Neodiprion lecontei: one gene and its partners. The protein of the gene in region 1 purifies or fractionates together with the protein of each later gene. This does not show direct contact. Links are inferred from orthologs where the notes say so. Each region holds a gene or a part of one and is shown in the gene's direction. Other genes may lie near its edges. The genes, in order: ribonuclease P protein subunit p20, ribonuclease P protein subunit p40, ribonuclease P protein subunit p30 and ribonucleases P/MRP protein subunit POP1.

Region 1 (3,495 bases):
TTTTCCAGATGAGAGTAAATACTGAAAATGAATATCAAGAATTTATATTCATATTTTTTACCAAGACACTTTAGTGACATGGGAAAGGACATCCCTGAAATTCACAAAGACAGCAAAGTGTAAATATAATTCTCAGCTGTGTTTGCCTTAGTCACGATTATTGACGTCAGTTTAATTTATAAATTAAAGAAGAAACATACCTTTCCATTTCTTGTAAACGTCACGGAGCAAACCTCGTACCCGTCGTGTGCTTTGACAAAAGTATTTATACACCGATTGGATACACCATCCCATAATTTAATACTTCCATCCTTACCAGCAGAGGCGTAAGTCTTACCGTCCAGACAATATTTAATGCTGGTTATACCTGCCGTATGCTGATGGCTGGGTATACTAGATACAAAGCACTGTGCCGTATTTACATCGTACAATCTAACGACAGGATGATTTGTTCCAACAACAAGAAAATCACCAGTCGGATGAAACGACAAGCATCTGATCTGGTCGGCGTCTGTTATAGTACGAAAAGCTTTCTTAACACTTGCTTTACTGAAGTCAAAGAGCTTGACTGAGAAGTCTCTGCTCCCGGAAACAAGTATTGGCTCCCTGGGATGAAACTCTAAGCAAGTCACCTCCTCCAAGTGATCGTACAGCGTTCTGATCACTGGATGCCCCCCAGTTTGATCACCAGGTGCCATTTCGTCCGGTGCAGATTTGGCCAACATTCTGTCAACATCTAAAATCTTTATCGAGGCATCGACGGAGCCTGTGGCAATTAGCTGTCCATCCGCCGAAAATGCTCCTGCTCTACAATTTCCTTTGTGCGATGTAACATACGCCGTTTCATATTGTGCCGGTTCTGGTGCCTGCGTCTGAGCCTCTGTTTCAAACTCTAAATCTAAACCAGGACCAAGAGTATTATCGACATTGGAAAATGTCGGTAGATTATTTACTTCTTTTTTTGTACGATCTGGCTCATGCGCAGCACCGATTAACATCAAATGCAACAATCTATCTGAAGGTGGGCAAGGCGGCTCAGCTTGTATCATGTTCGACAATTGAACCGCCAGAGTTTGATGACCATCATAGAAAAGTTGGCTGAAAAATATGTTTTCCATATAACTAAGACCACTTTATAGATTAGTAAACACAATTTCATTACTTCGACAAAATGACCAGTCATACGCTTATGTAAAAATGTGTAAACAGCAGGATTTGTGAGACTGTGCCTCTTACAATTTGATATGTAAATGAAAGAGAAAATCAAATCAACTTCTGCCTAATATTGTGATATCACAGTCTGTAATTGTTAGGCAAGGTGTTTCAAGATGTCACTGGGAGTTGGGAAAACTTAGCAAATTAGTGAAGTATTTTTCGCAAATATTCTATATCTGAAAATTTTCTTAGAAAAATCCGATTCCTCCGATATCCCTAATTATGGTGTATAAACTTTCATTGCTGGATACCTTGTCAAATCAGTTTTTCTAAACCCTCTAAGGGACGTATGAAATGACTAGTTTTGCAATAAGATATGAATAACCATTTAGTTAATTATCCGTAATTTTTTTACGAAAACACAAATTGAAGCAATGGTGTCTGAACATAACGAAAACGTGTAATGAGAAGTTTGAAGTAGTGAAAAATTTGAGATTTGCTTACCTGATCATAAGCCGATAGAGCGATTCTCTGCTTTTAATAATATTCTTCGGATCCAAATCTGGCTCCTTCATGTTTGAATGATAATCTCTATTCTCCTTCGGCGACTGAATTTTGCTGGTTTTATTTTTTCAGGCACAAAACGGAATCCGAAAATACGACCAACGACAATTCGTGATTCGCCTCTGTCACCGTCGTGGTCTCTGCGAGGTGAGAGGTTATGTTATGTTGATGCATTTTGCCTGTCGAAGTTAGTCGCACGCATGTCGCACGATTGGATATCGTAATCAGAATCTCAACTCTCTCCATAGGAATTGCCAATCGCATAACCTCCTCTCAGGATACAGGAGAAATGCCACAATGGCTGCTGCGAAAAGCGAAGTTGAATCGAGTCAACAAAATTTGACAGAAAGCTCAATCAAGGACTCTAAGATCAAACTGCGACCCACCTACGAACATGTTATAAGAAAGAGATTACCGCCACGTTTACCGAAAAGTGACAAGGACTTCTATATCACCAACAAAACAAACTTCAAGGTAACCTCAGGCACCCTAACCTCATTTGGTGCGTTTAAATCACATGATGTTCCGTACCATTTTTCAATTATTTTATATAAATATCCATGGTGTGGAGTTGGAAAACTGACAAACACTGTAAACCAGTCTCGTACCTTCTCTTTTCAGCTTGTTTCTGGTAATTACAATTTCCAACGCTCCAGCTATCAGAATTTATAAATTCTTGCTTATATTTTGCACGATTGTTGCTTCATTGTAAACAAGAATATAATTATGCATGATTTCTCATAATACTATCGACTCTGTTTAAGGCTCAGCTGAACAAATGTGAAAAACTACTGGATTCCGGTGAACAAGAAATTGTTATTCATGCTCTTGGTGCTGCGGTAAGCAGAGCTTGCAATTTGGCCTTACAATTGAAAGAAAATCACCATGGCACTGTCGATTTGGACATAAATACGTCGACTGTAGATATAACTGGTAGGTAAAGCTGGGCTAGGATTTGAACATTGAATTGTTGAGTATTAATGGTATAATTAATTTGACTTTTATAGATGATTTTGAGCCTATCACAGATGACGCTGACTATGAGGTAAATCAACGGCAAAATTCAGCCATTCATATTCGAGTGTTCCGCACAGCATTGTTTGAGACATTCAAATAAACACATACTATTAATTTTAAGTGAGTTTATTCAGTCTGAGGTAGTGTTTGGATGTAAGCTTTATATTTTATGAGACAATGAAGAAGCTTAATTTCCATATTTGATATTTGTTTTTTCTTCATTGTGAACTTCCTCAAGATGATATTTTCCCTCAACGAATTAGTGCACTGGCTGGGTTTAACGATATTTGAAATATGGATCAATCTTGTATCATTGACAATATTTACGATTTTGCTAGCCATGAAGATAGATAACAATTATTTCGCAGGCAATGGAGGCTGGTGGATTATATTCTCGCCATTATTTATCGGTGATGGCTTGAACACATATTTTTGTGCAATTATTTTCATAAGAATGCAAATGGATGGAGTAATGAAAAGTGCTATACTTAGAGCACTATGGAGTTTGACTTTTCTTTTGTTAGTTTTTGTTTTCAAGTATTTACTTTGCAAAAAATTGTCAGGTCAAAGCAGTCTGGAATATTCTGAAGTTTTGAGCCCTGTTTTTATTCTCTTACAACTTATTGCTGTCAGGGCTTGTCAGCTTCACTGACCCAGGGCTTTAGATAGAAATGATCCTGTCATAGAATTTTCTTTACAACAATCTTCTGTATATGTTGCAACTGAGCTTATGTACACAATACGATAAACTGATGTAAA
Region 2 (4,713 bases), on another chromosome or scaffold:
GGGGAAACATTTTCTCGACGATGACAAAGACTCCTGGAGCTCGAGCCAACGGCGACGTTGCCGAGGGGCATGACCCCCTAATTCAACGCGCACCTTTCCTCTGACGTCACAACCGTGTTACGTCACATTGTGTGCGGGGTTACGAACCTTCGATTAAACCAGTGAAACGCCTTTTCTTAGCCTAAAATATCCACAGTTGTGTGCGATATACGCAAGGCTTACGAAATGTGCAAACATGTGTATATACGCAGTATAAGGTGCGCGTATCCGTCACGCCGCTAATTACGCCGCTAAGGTGTATTATATTTGACAATTAATTAAGGTACGGTGTTTGACCGGGAAGAAATTGAGGTGTTGCATAACAAGAATGATAAATTAGAATGCGAGTTACCTATGAAACGTGAAAACAATCTGCATCCGAGAAATACTTTTCTTTTTTCACTCTTTGTCGGTATCCGATTACAGGAAACAAGATTTTCCATCAATATGAAGATCACCGAGAACAAAGCTACGATGTTAAATTTCTGTATCCCTCGAAATAATCTTTGTACAAAATCAAATTATTTCAGAGGGTTATTCAACTTCCGAGAAATAACTCTTCCGACTTAAGAGGTTTTGACGAGTGTACAGGTATACAACAATTTTCACAGTATTTATTTACTTGTTTGAGACAAATATTGACCCCCGTAAAATTAGTATCTCAAACCCTTGGTAGAACTTCTTCTCTACGGTCTGGGGAAAAAGAAAGACAGATTTCGAAACGAACTTTTTCAATCCTTTCCTTATTGTATAAAACGATTGCCTCATACTTTGGAAAGGAAAAAATTGCGTCCCGTATTTTTGAAGAAGAATCCTCACTTCGAATTCACAACTTTCGTATCAAATAATGAACTTTGGCAATACTTTAAACATACTCATATTATGACGGATATAATTATATTATAGAGATTCAATTTCATCGGGCTAATTGTGCCTGAATGAGAGAAAACGTTGTTCCTTCTCATAACAGTCATCGAGTAACATTCCGTAAAGCATATAACAATATAAAATAAGCAATTGTAACGAATAAATTTTGAGAATTGAAGTAGAATTTTAATTCGTGATACGCACGAGGATTGATTAACGAATTGACTTCCACGAACTTTTTATATTGCTAGTACTTCTCATCTAACAATTGTCCACATTCTTCGCTGACTTGTATCCCCCAACCCCGTTACTTTTATTCATTTCAGAGAGCTTATTATTTATTGCTCACACGTTACATACGAATCATTGTCCATATAATGCGCCAATAAACGTCAAGTCGGCAAAAATGTGGAAAATTGGATAAACACGCAACTTTGCGACTATACTTATATACTACCTCAATCGTGGGAAGTTGATTTACCCACGTGTATATCTATGTTTAAAAAACATGTCTGCTATCGCTGCAGGAGATATTATATTCCCGGAAATGCGTTCGTACTGTAGAAAAAAAAACCATCCGAATAAACTATGTAACAAAGACTAACGAGAAAATGAATAAGTGTGGAATGAAAGACGGAAACCAAAAAACTCGCTATAAGAACCCTGTGTAATAATAATATTAATGTAAGTGACGAGAATATTTTATTATGGTGTAAAATATACACTATACAATTGAAATGAAAATATTCCAATTTTATTTGTATATAGTGTAATATACGTACAAGTATTTACGTTACTTTATACGAGAATCAAATAGGTATTTTAGGCTGTGACGTGAGTAATGTATCGAGAATATATTAACACGAGTAAACTAATTAGAACATTAGAAGAATAAAATTATAGCTTTCTTTGCCGTATTTATATTCTTATTTATTAAATATACGAATAATGATGAAAAATCCAGTCGAATTTGAGTGACAGGATATTTGATTTTTGACGCAGGTACGCGAAAATACGCCATTTTGGTATTACGGGTTTCGCTCGAGATTCAATCAAAACAATTTCAATTCATCAACACGCGTTATAATTGGAGAATTTGTCGTGTATGCGTCAATCGGTTTGTACGTATTTTAAATATACTTGATTTGTACGGGTATTATTCCTAGGTATAGCATTTGATGTGTAAATTGCGCCGGTCGCAAGTGGGGTACATAAAAAAACAAAGAAAACTATATTGCAAATAATATGGTGTACTATTACTTATACATATAATTATGGGCATTGTTACGAAAACGTACACGTCTCTGCTAGTTTCGTAATAAAATGAGAAAATAATAAACGGTCGATTATTTGTTTCATAAGGACAAATAACTCATTATCTTATCTTCCTTGTTTCTTAAATCAGCTGTGTCGAATGAAGTTTCGACCGTGCGCAGTAACAATACAATGCAACAATATACGACCAGTCACATGTAATACTTTGGTAACCATAGAAATGGTTCCATTCTACGGACACATTGAAAAATAATCAACTGCCGATCAGCACAAATCGTATGAAAAACTCACTTACCAGTGCTTTGGCACCTCGTCAATTCCCTCTTCGAGTTGCCGATAATTGTCTTTCACATCGACGCGTGCAACGAATCATTTCACAAAATTGCAATAGAGCAAGCAAATCAGTTTTTTGAACATTAATCACACGTATATTTATTCGAAAAACAAGATGGATTCTGAGGAAACGAACATCCGAAATAACCGAACTAGAAATCGCGCCTGTTATACTCACGTGTTGATCGAAACAATGGAGAATTTATATTTGTACCAACGCGAGTAAATCCAATTCTACGATTAATTATTACAAGGCAGCCTGTCAGTATCTATAAATTATGTAAACCGCACTGATGCCGACACGTGTTAGTTTCTTTTGAAAAATTAATGAAACAAATGCACATCGGCGAGCTACAACGAATTCAGATCTAATTTAACAGTTGCGACCAACTTCATGGACAAGGTTGCAATATTACGAAATACCAGATTCATCAGACGATGGAAATCTATGTTGAATCAGGGAAAAATTCCGGTAAAACTAACCGAAACCGGTGACTGCTGATTGTGAAACTAACACACCGAGTCCTGCAAACGCGACGCGTTCTGACTTGTCAACTCTAGAATCTAGATGTTCGATGTCGCGTCAGCTGATGCTCCTTTGTTTGATATAAGGGAGCGCCGTTTCGACGCACGCGGCGGTTGTTGGAACTAACTTTGTAATAAGTTTCTAGGCTTCTGTCTAAAGGGTCTAAAGCCAGACTCGAAGAAATTTAATGCGTGGACTGTACTACATACATGCCTATGTATACCGTACGTATGCATATATCACTGATCTGTGGTACGTACGCATGAGCGCATATGCGACGGCCGTCACAATAAAGTTTAATTTAATACATAGAAAACAGCTGTTCGAAACGTAAGCGTACGAAGTTTATCTGAATTATTTTCCATCGTTCCCAATACGAGGATCGCTGTATTATGTCAATAACGAAATAAAATACAATACAAGACTAGGCGTAATACGCAATTGGATAGCTTTTCGGTGTTTCCTTGGTTCTTACCTTTCTGACTGACAATAACCGCAATGCCTGTTCGTACGACGCGGTGTACGCATTTTCATTAATAATCGGGAAATGCTGTGCCCAGAAGTGTGGGACTTTAAAGCCCCGCAGCACTACTTCAAGGTCGATCATTCGGATTGTTTAACAAAGAACGTGACGGGCGTGATTAGAAAACACTATTTCAACCACTCGGTAAGCGGTATAACGCGATCTCGCGATTATAAATTATAGGTTAGGTTGATTTTATTATGCTGCGCTGCGTAGCTGTAACGAGAGATTTACGTAATTTTAAATAATTCTTGGATTATTGCCAGGTATCTGTCGTCATTCCTGATACAGTTAATTTACCACCGCATTATTTCGAATCGTTCAACGAAGACAACGACTATTACAGAGTCAACAATTTATCAGCATCCGAACTGGTTGACAAAGAATTCATCGAGGCCTTTGTGAAAAACGGTAATTCAATATTTCCACCAATTTTTCATTATAATTTTAAAACACTTCGTTGCACTTTTTCTACTCTTGATTTCCCGCCGGTGAAACACTAATAGGATGGAAAATTTTCCGTGTTTCTTAACTTACAATCGATCTGCAAACGCCATTTTTAGCAAATTTTCAGAACCTTGTATGCATTTGTTTATCAGCAGGTAGTTAAAAAAAATAAACTGTCCGCCACGGAATTTTCATTTTTCCACTACTTCTTTTGACAGAAACAACTTTTTCTTTTCGCCATCAGGTTTAATTATACAGAATTATTTTCAATAGCATCTGTAGTAGATTACTTTGCATGTATGCAAAAATTATTTAACAGAGCTGCCTTTTTAACTGGCTACTTTTTGTAACTGAATATCATCTAAGAACAATTTCAGGTGAGGTCAGTGTGCTGGCAATAGAGAGTCACATCGACACCCAGAATTCACTCGCTGTAACTCCGTCTGGCCATTTGATACTTTCCTTGGTTAAAGAAGATTTCCAAACACTCGGTATCGAGGGAAAACCTTCGTTCTTCGACCGTAATATCAAAAATCGCTTTGGTGAGTTATTGGAAAGCTAAATAAAATCTCTAAATAATAAAGGATAAGTGACAAACGGAAAACTTAAGGGGTATCAGATTGACAAAATGCCAAAGAAACACCAAATAGCTTCGCTGGAAGAATTGGCCCTCAGGTCGGTTGGCCAATTCGTAACTGATGTC
Region 3 (3,928 bases), on another chromosome or scaffold:
ATTCTTATGAGACTTTATGATTTGTTTTTCATCAAGGCTTAACGACGTTACGCAGCCAGTCAAAATTCGGTTGCGTTGCGTGCCTGGATAGTCTATTAGGTTTTTCAGAGTTTGGTAACGTCGCGTAGTGTTATTGTGAAAAAATCGTATACTCTTCGAAATGAGTAAGGTTGGCACCGAAAATAATGACGTTACTGAAGAAAAAAAAACGAACAAGTCTTATGGAAAGAAAAGCTAGTTTCTGAAAAAGTTTATAAAAAAACGAATAGAACAGAAAATCGGAACAAACATTCCAAATATTTATGGCACTCGTAAACATAACATTCAATGTCGTTCAATACATTCGTGAGATTAGATCTAAACAAATATTTTCACCTTTAGGTCCTCGCTTGGCCGGTATCTAGAAACTGATCTCCAAAACCATGTAAGTGATTACAGGTACCATGTGAAAGCTTTGAACGTTACTAAACTACATTGTACCTGTATATGTATAATAATACAAAAGTACAATTTTCTCTAATGATGTTACGACAACTTTGTTTATCACTATATATACTTCCAAGATCTGTCATCCATAGAACCCATTTTTTTTTGTTCATAATCGAAAAGTAACTCTAATCCAGCTATTGTTGTTGCCAGGTGACAACATGTCATGACCTAGACAGCTGGATACAACTTCAGACATGTATACATTTTTTTAAATAATTTTTTCCAATATCATAGAAGTGGTAAATAATTCTGAAATATCTTTGTCCATTATGATTAGACTTGCTTCTACTCCCAAACAAACTTTCAACGACATTCCAATGTCGCTTCATTACAAATTTAACGACTAAATTTAATTGTCGTCGATTCCTACATAATAATACGTGTAAAATGAGCAAAGCAATATTTGCTTATACCCCATAAACAATCCCGTGAATCAATAAAAAATTTTAATCTGGCGATTGAATTGCATAACTATTGAATTTCGAGCGAATGTCGACAAGGATCGCTATCCGCGGCTTGATGTATACTCGGTTGCCTATATGCCAGCGCTTAGCGAGATCTCTTTTAACCGGTCGTATCTCGCGAACGCGACTTCGTAGGTCACATGTTCTTTCGTTTAATTTACTCAGTTCAACCGCCTATATAACCCCTATCAGTTTGGTCACTTGATGCTAGGTCACCGTGTACATAGAGCAGCAAAATTAGGTTGAGGAAGATCTATGATTCGATTAAAATTATTCCAATTATGTTTGCACCGATACGCGATTCCACATGTACGAAAACGTGGTACGGACCGTTCACGAGGCAAAAAAATGCGAGGGAGATTAAAGAATGGCAATGTTATCGCTCAGACATATTTGAAATCGTAACGGTCGTCAGACAATTGGCGGTTGTGATAAAAATGATATTCACACAAAAGTTTGAACTGCGGCTTACCGTTTTTGGCTTTGTGATCTTCATCAGAATTGTTCACAACGGAACGTGGCATTGTTTGACATATTAAAATAACAAACTAATAACGATGCATACACGAAACGACGTTCAACCGTGCACAAATAGAACTCTTATAAGTACTCAACCACCTCCGACCAGTCCCCGCAGTCGAAGATTCGAGCCGCGTAACCGGTGTAACATACCGATTATTATCGATTAGTTTTTCTCAGAGTCACCAGATGGCGTTGCGAAAAAGTCTGTGCCACTGATCTTTAGTTATAATAGAGATCCAGTGGTCTGTGCACGTGTGATCCTCTACTTTGGTTCTCTCGTTAAACGTAGTATACCTTCGTTACTCTATACGTTGTTTGTGGTTCAGCTGTTCAATACTATTGTGTATATTTTATTACCACGTTTGGTGAATGTAATTATTCACTGAAATGGAGACTGCTTTCGGGTTTTGCGACCTATGCATAAATGCAGAAATTGTAAATAAAAATACATTACATAAAGTGCTGGATAAATTATATGAAAGTATGTACGTATGAACAAAAATTCTCATTTCATTTGATGTAAATAGAAAACAAATGAAGATCAATCAGAATCTACAACTATGACATATCGTAATGTTTTTCTTCAATTCTCACCAGTGGGTTATTCAACAGTAGCAATCAACCGAACAATAGAAGAGACAGTTTTCGAATCTGAAAAGAAAAACAAGAAAAAGGCCGGTGACAATGAAGCTCTGGGAGTTACTGTCCCGAGTCCTCCAGACATCGCTGATCTAATTTCAGAATATGCTGGAAAGCTTCGTATTTTAAATCGTCTTACGTTCGTGTTCGGAGATCCCACAAGAACCCATACGCTGGTAAACACGTTATAAAAGTCTGTAAAAAGTTGATCCGATATAATCTCAGCAATTCTAAGGCACTGAGAATAGGTATTTTAAATTTAATTTATTTTTTTGAATTCAAGTATTTAAATTTGTTCAATATTTTCAGAATCAATCATCGAGTCTGAGAAAGTATGACTTATACGCTGTTGTACCTAAAACACAAGCAGCATTTCAGGTACGTTGGTAAGATTTGCACGATGACTACTATATAAGTTTGGTACTGCGGATTAATTTATGATTTTCTTGATACTTCTTTTCTTTTTTCCAGTTTGCTTGCTCCCAACTCAATACAGACATCGTATTATTAAACAGAAATTGTGTTGGGCTAAAGTTGAGCAGGAAGTTATATTTACAAGCTGTAGAGAGAGGAATTAATTTTGAAATTCAGTACTGCGATGTTATTAGTAGTGCGAGCAGAAAGTTTGCTATACATTACTCCCATCTGTTCCACATGTTTGGCAAAAGCAAAGTAATTTTTTCTTTCTATAAATGGATCGGCACCTGCTTGTCAAAATTTTTCTGCATCATGGTTATTCTTTCAGAACATCTTCATCAGTAGCGGAGCTTCAATTGAAACCCAAATTAGGAGTCCTTATGATATAATAAATTTGTATCCTTTGAAGAATTTATCAAGTATATTTGAATTCAACTGGGTATTACAGTAGCCAATTTCTGAAGTTTGGTGGTTTGAAAATTATTGAGTGCTGATTCTACATCTGTTATATTCCTTAGTCATTTTTATGCTAGAGCTTCTATTCTGGGAATGAATGAGACAAAAGCTAAAGCTTCAATCCTCTCACAGAGTCGATATGTCATTTTGAGAGCAGGTGGGTCGATATAATTATGATAGAAATTTTTTAATAACAATAATGACATATTTTTACACTGAGTTTAGAAGGAAGACGCTATGGAAAAGCAGTTTTTCGAATACAAACATGTAGCACCGAAAAAAGAGAGATGGAATCGGAAATGGAAATAGAAGCGGAGGAAACAGACGATGAACATGGTGACACTTGTACCGAAGCAAAAAAAATAAAACTGTGATCAGTCGGGAGAGTAATTTGTGAAAAATAAAATTGATCCATACGATTTGAGTAGACTATATTTTAAAAGATAAAGATTTGTTACATAACTGGTATTTCAATAATATGTACTTATTTTTTGTTATTACTAGCGGGGGAAATAATTTACACACTTATCCATTGGTATTTTACATCTGGTAGCTATATCTAAGATCTGTTATGATTAAATTAAATTTAATCTTAATTTAGCATTAACATATCAACGAAAATTTTCTTAACGCAATTATCCACAGTTTTACATATTGTTGGAAAAATCTTCGTATTTAATGTACTTTATAGGGATAATAATAAAAACAATATTGAACAGATAGCATATTATACATTCCACAGACGAACACAGACTCGAACTGTTTCTAAACAGAATGATGCAAAGAGGAAATGAAAATGAGCAAAAGTAAACTTTTACTGTAAGTTTATAGATTTTTAATTGCTATCGGAAGCAAATTATTTACAGACTATTCTCCTTTTGAACACCTTTCAACTTCAGTCTTTGAAATAGGACACAGCGGACATATTCCCTTTGCTTCCC
Region 4 (6,016 bases), on another chromosome or scaffold:
CCCCATATTGACGAGTGCCTGACGAGCTTCTCCGGCTGCCCCACCATCGACCAGCTTCCCAGAATCCTTATCAAGCCCAAGTACTCCAGAAAGATAAACGGTTCGGTCGACTAGGACAGCTTGACTATTAACAATAAGAAAAACAATGATTAGTATCTCAAAAAAAATTTGCAAGTGGAACAAAAAATTTTGATTTTTGTTACGTGCATCACCAATGTTTGAGCAATACAATTATCAACGTAGCATTGTTATCTACACACCGATATGCAGTAAATGGCGTGCAGAAAAGGAAAAATAGTGAGATAACTAAACATCATATTTAGACGTATCCGTTCTTAATAAAGAACAAGTAATGACAATAATTTGGCAGAAATCAAATAAACTGTATTGAATATATGTAATGTAAGTAATATGATATTGATATTCATTTTAATTCTTTTTATTTGTGATCGAAAACAGATTATTGATGCGCTTTTCGCACCGGAGTCGTCCGTAAGATGTGAATACTATGTATTATAAGAAATCGTAACTTGCACGATCAGTAAATGAATAACGAAAAACATTCGTTAGGTAAACATAGAGGTATCCTGATATTTTAACTCACTTATAAGGGCCAACGGGTTTAGGCGCTGCTGGACAAGTAATAATTTTCCGTATTATAGACGCCATGTTCTTTCAGGGCAAACCGCAGTACACTAAGAGTATAAGCGACTGACCGGCTTTCTCCAATACCGAATTATCTTTTTATTTGTATAGAGGTATAATTCAATCAGTCGTACATATACGTCCGCGCATGCATGTGGAATATATACATTTTTCAAGTAGTGTTATGTATTCGTGCACGATTGTGTGCAGCTCACAAGCATTGTAAATGACGACGTTTGATACACTCTGTGAACTATGACCTGTGTGCAATGGCAGTGGCGTACACATTCAGCTATGCTAGTGAACGTACAGCAATTAGTAAAGCTACTAATACCACGTGATGGAACAAATTATCAGCTATCAAATATCGGCATATTTCTGGAGTGCTTGCGAATTGATTCGTATAATTCAACATGTCCGTACAGAATTCTTCCATCCCGAAATATCACAAATTAAATTTGAAAGATATGTCATATGATGAACTATCTCAGCTCCATAACTTCATGAGTGTATGTTAAACTTTGTAGAAAAACTTTTTGAGAGAAATCTCGACCCCTAAAATTTTAGACAAATATAAGTGACTGAGATTTTGTCTGTCCTTGTTTTAGTCTTTGATTTCTTTATTAAAGTGCGCTGTAATTACGACTCACTTATATGGTCCGGCCGATTTTGGTGCCCTTGTAGTTGATATAATTTTTCGAATAATTTTCATCGCCATTATTACTGTATGATATACGCAATATTGTCAACCTTAGGTATGAGGTTCGTCGCGTAAGCTAGTACGGTGATATAATGATGACTGATTCGGACGGAGTCGCAATTTTCAATACGCGCAAATTGTAACGTAATATTCTGCTATTGTTCGTGCGTATCATTTATTTCTATTCATGTTATCAGTTCAAAAGAAAAATCGAAGGCCGATCAATGATCAACATTCCTAACACTGCAATTCCAATACTGGAGATTGTGAATAACTACGCAGACATGAGAAACTAGAACTGTAATTTTCTTGCCTGCGCCTTAGTGTTAGACATCTAGGTATACACCAGAACAACATACACACGTGGTCGAAGATGAATGATACTCTTTCTGTCACGTGGTTCGAGCAAGACTGAACATAACCTCAAATCAAATTTCGAAATATCGGCTCGTAGTGTTCGTTGGAAGGTACAAATGCTTGGATCAGAATCCAATTACAATTTCTCGTACAAGAATTGTCACGGAAACTTCAAGTATGGCGGAAAAGGCTCAATTCGACATATTCCTCGGTGGATCCCAGGAATTACCTCCCGAAGCACATATCATGAAACTGGCATCGGCGAGAGCGAATGAAATCGCCGCGATGACTTATTCCATAGGTAAAATATTTTCCCGTCCATTATAAAATAAACCTAACCTAATCTAGATATTGTTCCCTCTCCAATTCCTGCTTTTGTTTAAATGTCTCTGGTGCTTCATAATTCAGCCACCTTGACATGGAATATGTATCTTTCCCGGATGTATACCCAGGTTTTTCTTTCTTTTATTTCGTCCCTCATTTCCCCAACAATGCCATTAACTTGATAATACTTGAGAGTGTTAATTGCGCGGGAATTTTGAATTTTTATTGAAGAATGACCATTATGCCTTGATATTGCAGATAATCCTCAACAGACAAAATTAATATTCCAAAAACTACCGATGCATATGCGTCGCAGAATAATGTCCCACAATGCAAAGCGTATGCCAAGGAGACTACGAGAGATGCATATTCACCAAATGTCAAAGTCAGGTTTGCCACCCAAAACAAAAAGACCCTCCCGAAAGTACCGGCGAAGGCCACAGAACCTGATCGCAGAGTACAAGCGTAGGCAGGTAAAGAATGCCTGGCTTGAAACACACGTGTGGCACGCAAAAAGGTTTCACATGGTTGAAAAATGGGGTCACAGGCTCCCTGAGCACTCAAATGATCGCAGTTTTAGAGCGAGTTACAGAGCAGTAGCAAAACACTGCCTGCTACAGGACATATCTTACTATTCTTGCATTCAGCTAACTGGACCGATTAATGCGCTGAAAAAAATGCTCAAGAATCACTGCGATCCTGGCAACCTGAGCTTCACAGCAAAATCCTATATCCAGGGTAGCAGGGAGGGGAATCTTATGTTCTACAGGAAGAACGGATATCCAACATCACCTGTGGGAACTGTAGAGTTCATATGGAGGCCTGGTAACTCTGAACTAAAAACATTATGGATGTGGGCGCATCCTGCATTTTATCAGCTAATATTGTCGGAGATTTGTAACAGCTTCAAGTTTAATCTTGAGTCTCCGTGCCATTCCTCAGATTCAGAGTATTCGGGTGCTGATAATTGCAGATTAGTATTACTGAAGAATTCCTTGAACAGGTTCAGACTTTGCGGTCCATTGAGTCTGGCAGTGCTCACGACTGCCCTACGTCTGCCAGAGATAGGAAAAATTCTTGACGAAGTGAGAAAATCTGAGGGAGAAGGAGATGAAGTGAAGTCACATACTACCATGGAAACAGATTCACCAAAATGTGGTGATTCGGATAGTGATGTTGAAATCGTTCAGGTTTCTAAGAAGGAAATTGAACCAATGGACGTCGAGAGCAATACTCGTATTGATAGAGATGACAACAACGAATCACTTGAGACTACTGCCCGATCATGGTATTCGGAGTATTATAGGGACTCAGAGAACATTCAGTCACTGCAAGTTCAAAAAGAGGTTTTTGAACATCTGAGGGATCTTAATTCACCCAACCAGCTTCCCCCATGTGCAGTTATGGCTTTCACAGTTTTGGATCCAAGATATTTCGTCCCGACTAAACGAAATAAAGCGCAGACAAATGCAAGGACCATTGAGACGATTCCTGTTCCTCCCACACTTATTAATGTTAGTGCAATATGGGAACCCAGAATCAGAAAATCATCGGTGAAAAACTTCAAGACTACAAATGAAATAAACAAACTGAGAAGTGAAAATTTAGTTCCCGGTATTGGCAATGACGATAAATATGACCAAAGCTATATTGCCAAAGTACCTATTCTTCTTATTCAGAGGCCTGGATGCGGCTATGGAGAAAAAAGTCTTGGTAAGCCATGCAAATTGCATTCATTCCATCGTTATTTAAAATTTATCTAGTCATTCTGGATGTAGTTATGACAGTTTTTGAGAATGTGACTTGTGAGCTTCTAGTATTATAACAGAAAGACTGAAAGGCAAGTAAAAATTTAAGTCCCAAGTGTATTTCTTCTATCAAACTCAAATTTTGAATTGGCATTTCAAATATTCGATTGTTTAACTGGATTAATTATTTTCAGGATTCAGTTCTGGAATCGACGTAATTTTACCATCTGGTTGGGCAACTCCGTTTTGGATCTCGTTTATTTTTCGTTGTGCCAAACCAGGAGGTTTGAGGGAATCAACATCAATTATATTTGAAAATCTTAGGTTGAATTCGCCTGATTTTAATCCGCCAGATACAGAAGCATACATAAAAGAAGCTTCAGAAAGAAAGACTAGTCTAATGGAAAAGTATTTCAGATATCCTCCAAACAGGAGATCAAATTACGTGAAACTTGGTATTTCTAGTCCGTTCTATTGCGAGTGGAATTTACTTATCAAGGAATGGACAGATATGGCAACGTTCTATGTACTCAGAGATAAGAAACTGCTTCATTTAATACAAGAAAATATCTCTCATCAATTACCATTGAACCGGCATAAGAAGTATCAACAGCTTTGTGAATCAAGTTTCGACAAAACTGTGTTCAAAGACACTAATACGTTAATAACTGTAAAGATTGTCATAGAAAGCAAAGGGTGTCCCAGAGATTTTGCCATAATCTGCTTACCCCTCTCTGAGGATTTAGAAAAATTGGGCCAAAAAAGAACCTGGGAAGGGCCTGTAGCTAAGCTAAGAAAAGACCCCAACGAATCGATTAGAAAAACTTTGAGAAGGGGTCACTTGGCGCTATTGAAACGTTTGAGAAGACAAAGAGTAAAACAGCGGATTAAAATGGAGAGTAGTGATCACAGATCGGTTGAGCCAAAGCCCAGTTCCAGCATTGCGATGTCTAAAATAATTTCGCGAAAAAAGGCTCAAAGTATTGTTGACCTGCAGGCTGAAAAGATGAAGAATCTCTATTTGCCAAATTGCAAAACGATACGAAACTCTTGCGATCGAGAAGTTATGGGATACGTGGTTAAAGGAGACTTCAGTTTTACCGAATCAAAGGGAATCGGACTGGGATACGTAACACTTCCCTCTCTGTTTAGCCTAATTAAGCAGAAAAGTAACGTAGTTCTGATCAGAAACACAAGATCTAGACAATACAGACTCGCCAGACTTAGTATACTGACATGAATAACTATTGACCTGTAAATATATTGTGAATGATCAATTAACTTCAGGAGAGTAACGTACAAATGTATATAAATCAACGATTTCTTCTGGAAATTCTTAAATAGCGCATCAAGGTAATTGTAGAAACCATTTGAATGTGGCTCTAAGAGATTTATTTGAATACCTTATTTTGCTAAAACTATTACATTGTGACAGGCTATGCGCTAATTATTATGTTTCATAAATAAAATTATCGCCTACCATAGACGGAAGTATATAGTATATTGGGAAAAGAATCATGATTTTTAAAGTGTAGAAGAAGAGAGTCCAAATTCTCATCAGTTATTTGCCAGTGCGATGTACAAACAATAAACGAACTGGCAGTTCTTGTCATTTGATATTATTATTACCAGTAGTTTCCCATTGCACGTTGAGCAATTGAAATTAAATCAACAAAGTAGACTTTTCCCGTTTACAAATCTAATGAAATAAAAGCCCGTGTTTAACAGGGCGTTTTAAAAAATCGTGCCTTCGTTTTATTTATGATTTTTATTTTATTATTTCGATCTTATATTCGCACATAGACATGTACGTACATGCAATAAAATACACAGGTACGCCTACATGTTACTATTTTATATCTACTAGTGCTTTCATTATTATTTTTTCTTCGTTTTGCCAGCAAAACTTAGCAGTCGTACTGTATACCTATTGCTACTATACAAGGTATTTGAAAGATAATACTTTTTTAACCACAATAAACAGTAATAACCCCGTGCTGGCGCTGTGAATCTATATCAGAAAACTTTGATCCAATTAACAGTAAGATTGCTATGTAGCAACTTTATTTAATGGTTCCAATGAGCATACTTCGAAATAAATTAAATAAGTACTGTAAAAATATATACTTTAGGTCTGAAAAACCTTCACCTTTGAATATCATTTTAAGAATTAGCAGGACTGCTGGTGGTGACCAAGCTATTTTGAAAAGTATTCGTTAATTTCTGTAAGTGAATATGTGTA

What was found.
Region 2: the proteins of ribonuclease P protein subunit p20 (region 1) and ribonuclease P protein subunit p40 purify together in Homo sapiens (co-immunoprecipitation; 4 studies listed by BioGRID and IntAct, with this or other methods). This does not show direct contact. The link is inferred for Neodiprion lecontei from reciprocal best matches to the Homo sapiens genes POP7 and RPP40.
Region 3: the proteins of ribonuclease P protein subunit p20 (region 1) and ribonuclease P protein subunit p30 purify together in Homo sapiens (co-immunoprecipitation; 4 studies listed by BioGRID and IntAct, counting the BioPlex papers as one, with this or other methods). This does not show direct contact. The link is inferred for Neodiprion lecontei from reciprocal best matches to the Homo sapiens genes POP7 and RPP30.
Region 4: the proteins of ribonuclease P protein subunit p20 (region 1) and ribonucleases P/MRP protein subunit POP1 purify together in Homo sapiens (affinity purification with mass spectrometry; 3 studies listed by BioGRID and IntAct, with this or other methods). This does not show direct contact. The link is inferred for Neodiprion lecontei from reciprocal best matches to the Homo sapiens genes POP7 and POP1.

Annotation. Positions count from the first base shown.
Region 1 is NC_060263.1:36,111,231-36,114,725, reverse strand, and holds ribonuclease P protein subunit p20, read left to right. Parts: upstream 1-1,993; 5' UTR 1,994-2,016; coding exon 2,017-2,193; intron 2,194-2,483; coding exon 2,484-2,652; intron 2,653-2,726; coding exon 2,727-2,836; 3' UTR 2,837-2,940; downstream 2,941-3,495. Other genes in the region: cleavage stimulation factor subunit 1, read right to left, coding at 1-21, 201-1,098, 1,660-1,730; transmembrane protein 203, read left to right, coding at 2,975-3,388. UniProt on the Homo sapiens protein: Component of ribonuclease P, a ribonucleoprotein complex that generates mature tRNA molecules by cleaving their 5'-ends. Also a component of the MRP ribonuclease complex, which cleaves pre-rRNA sequences.
Region 2 is NC_060261.1:34,620,686-34,625,398, forward strand, and holds the start of ribonuclease P protein subunit p40, read left to right. Parts: upstream 1-1,683; 5' UTR 1,684-3,587; coding exon 3,588-3,707; intron 3,708-3,829; coding exon 3,830-3,974; intron 3,975-4,387; coding exon 4,388-4,552; exon of another isoform or gene 4,553-4,638; coding exon of another isoform or gene 4,639-4,713. Other genes in the region: uncharacterized protein LOC107219723, read left to right, coding at 1-104; uncharacterized protein LOC107219755, read left to right, coding at 4,639-4,713. UniProt on the Homo sapiens protein: Component of ribonuclease P, a ribonucleoprotein complex that generates mature tRNA molecules by cleaving their 5'-ends. Also a component of the MRP ribonuclease complex, which cleaves pre-rRNA sequences.
Region 3 is NC_060261.1:32,864,089-32,868,016, forward strand, and holds ribonuclease P protein subunit p30, read left to right. Parts: upstream 1-1,698; 5' UTR 1,699-1,862; coding exon 1,863-1,956; coding exon of another isoform or gene 1,957-1,960; intron 1,961-2,072; coding exon 2,073-2,290; intron 2,291-2,423; coding exon 2,424-2,492; intron 2,493-2,585; coding exon 2,586-2,786; intron 2,787-2,859; coding exon 2,860-2,927; intron 2,928-3,064; coding exon 3,065-3,144; intron 3,145-3,212; coding exon 3,213-3,361; 3' UTR 3,362-3,377; downstream 3,378-3,928. UniProt on the Homo sapiens protein: Component of ribonuclease P, a ribonucleoprotein complex that generates mature tRNA molecules by cleaving their 5'-ends. Also a component of the MRP ribonuclease complex, which cleaves pre-rRNA sequences.
Region 4 is NC_060264.1:26,747,879-26,753,894, reverse strand, and holds ribonucleases P/MRP protein subunit POP1, read left to right. Parts: upstream 1-1,639; 5' UTR 1,640-1,879; coding exon 1,880-2,003; intron 2,004-2,284; coding exon 2,285-3,739; intron 3,740-3,968; coding exon 3,969-5,014; 3' UTR 5,015-5,501; downstream 5,502-6,016. Other genes in the region: 2-iminobutanoate/2-iminopropanoate deaminase, read right to left, coding at 1-124, 1,296-1,363. UniProt on the Homo sapiens protein: Component of ribonuclease P, a ribonucleoprotein complex that generates mature tRNA molecules by cleaving their 5'-ends. Also a component of the MRP ribonuclease complex, which cleaves pre-rRNA sequences.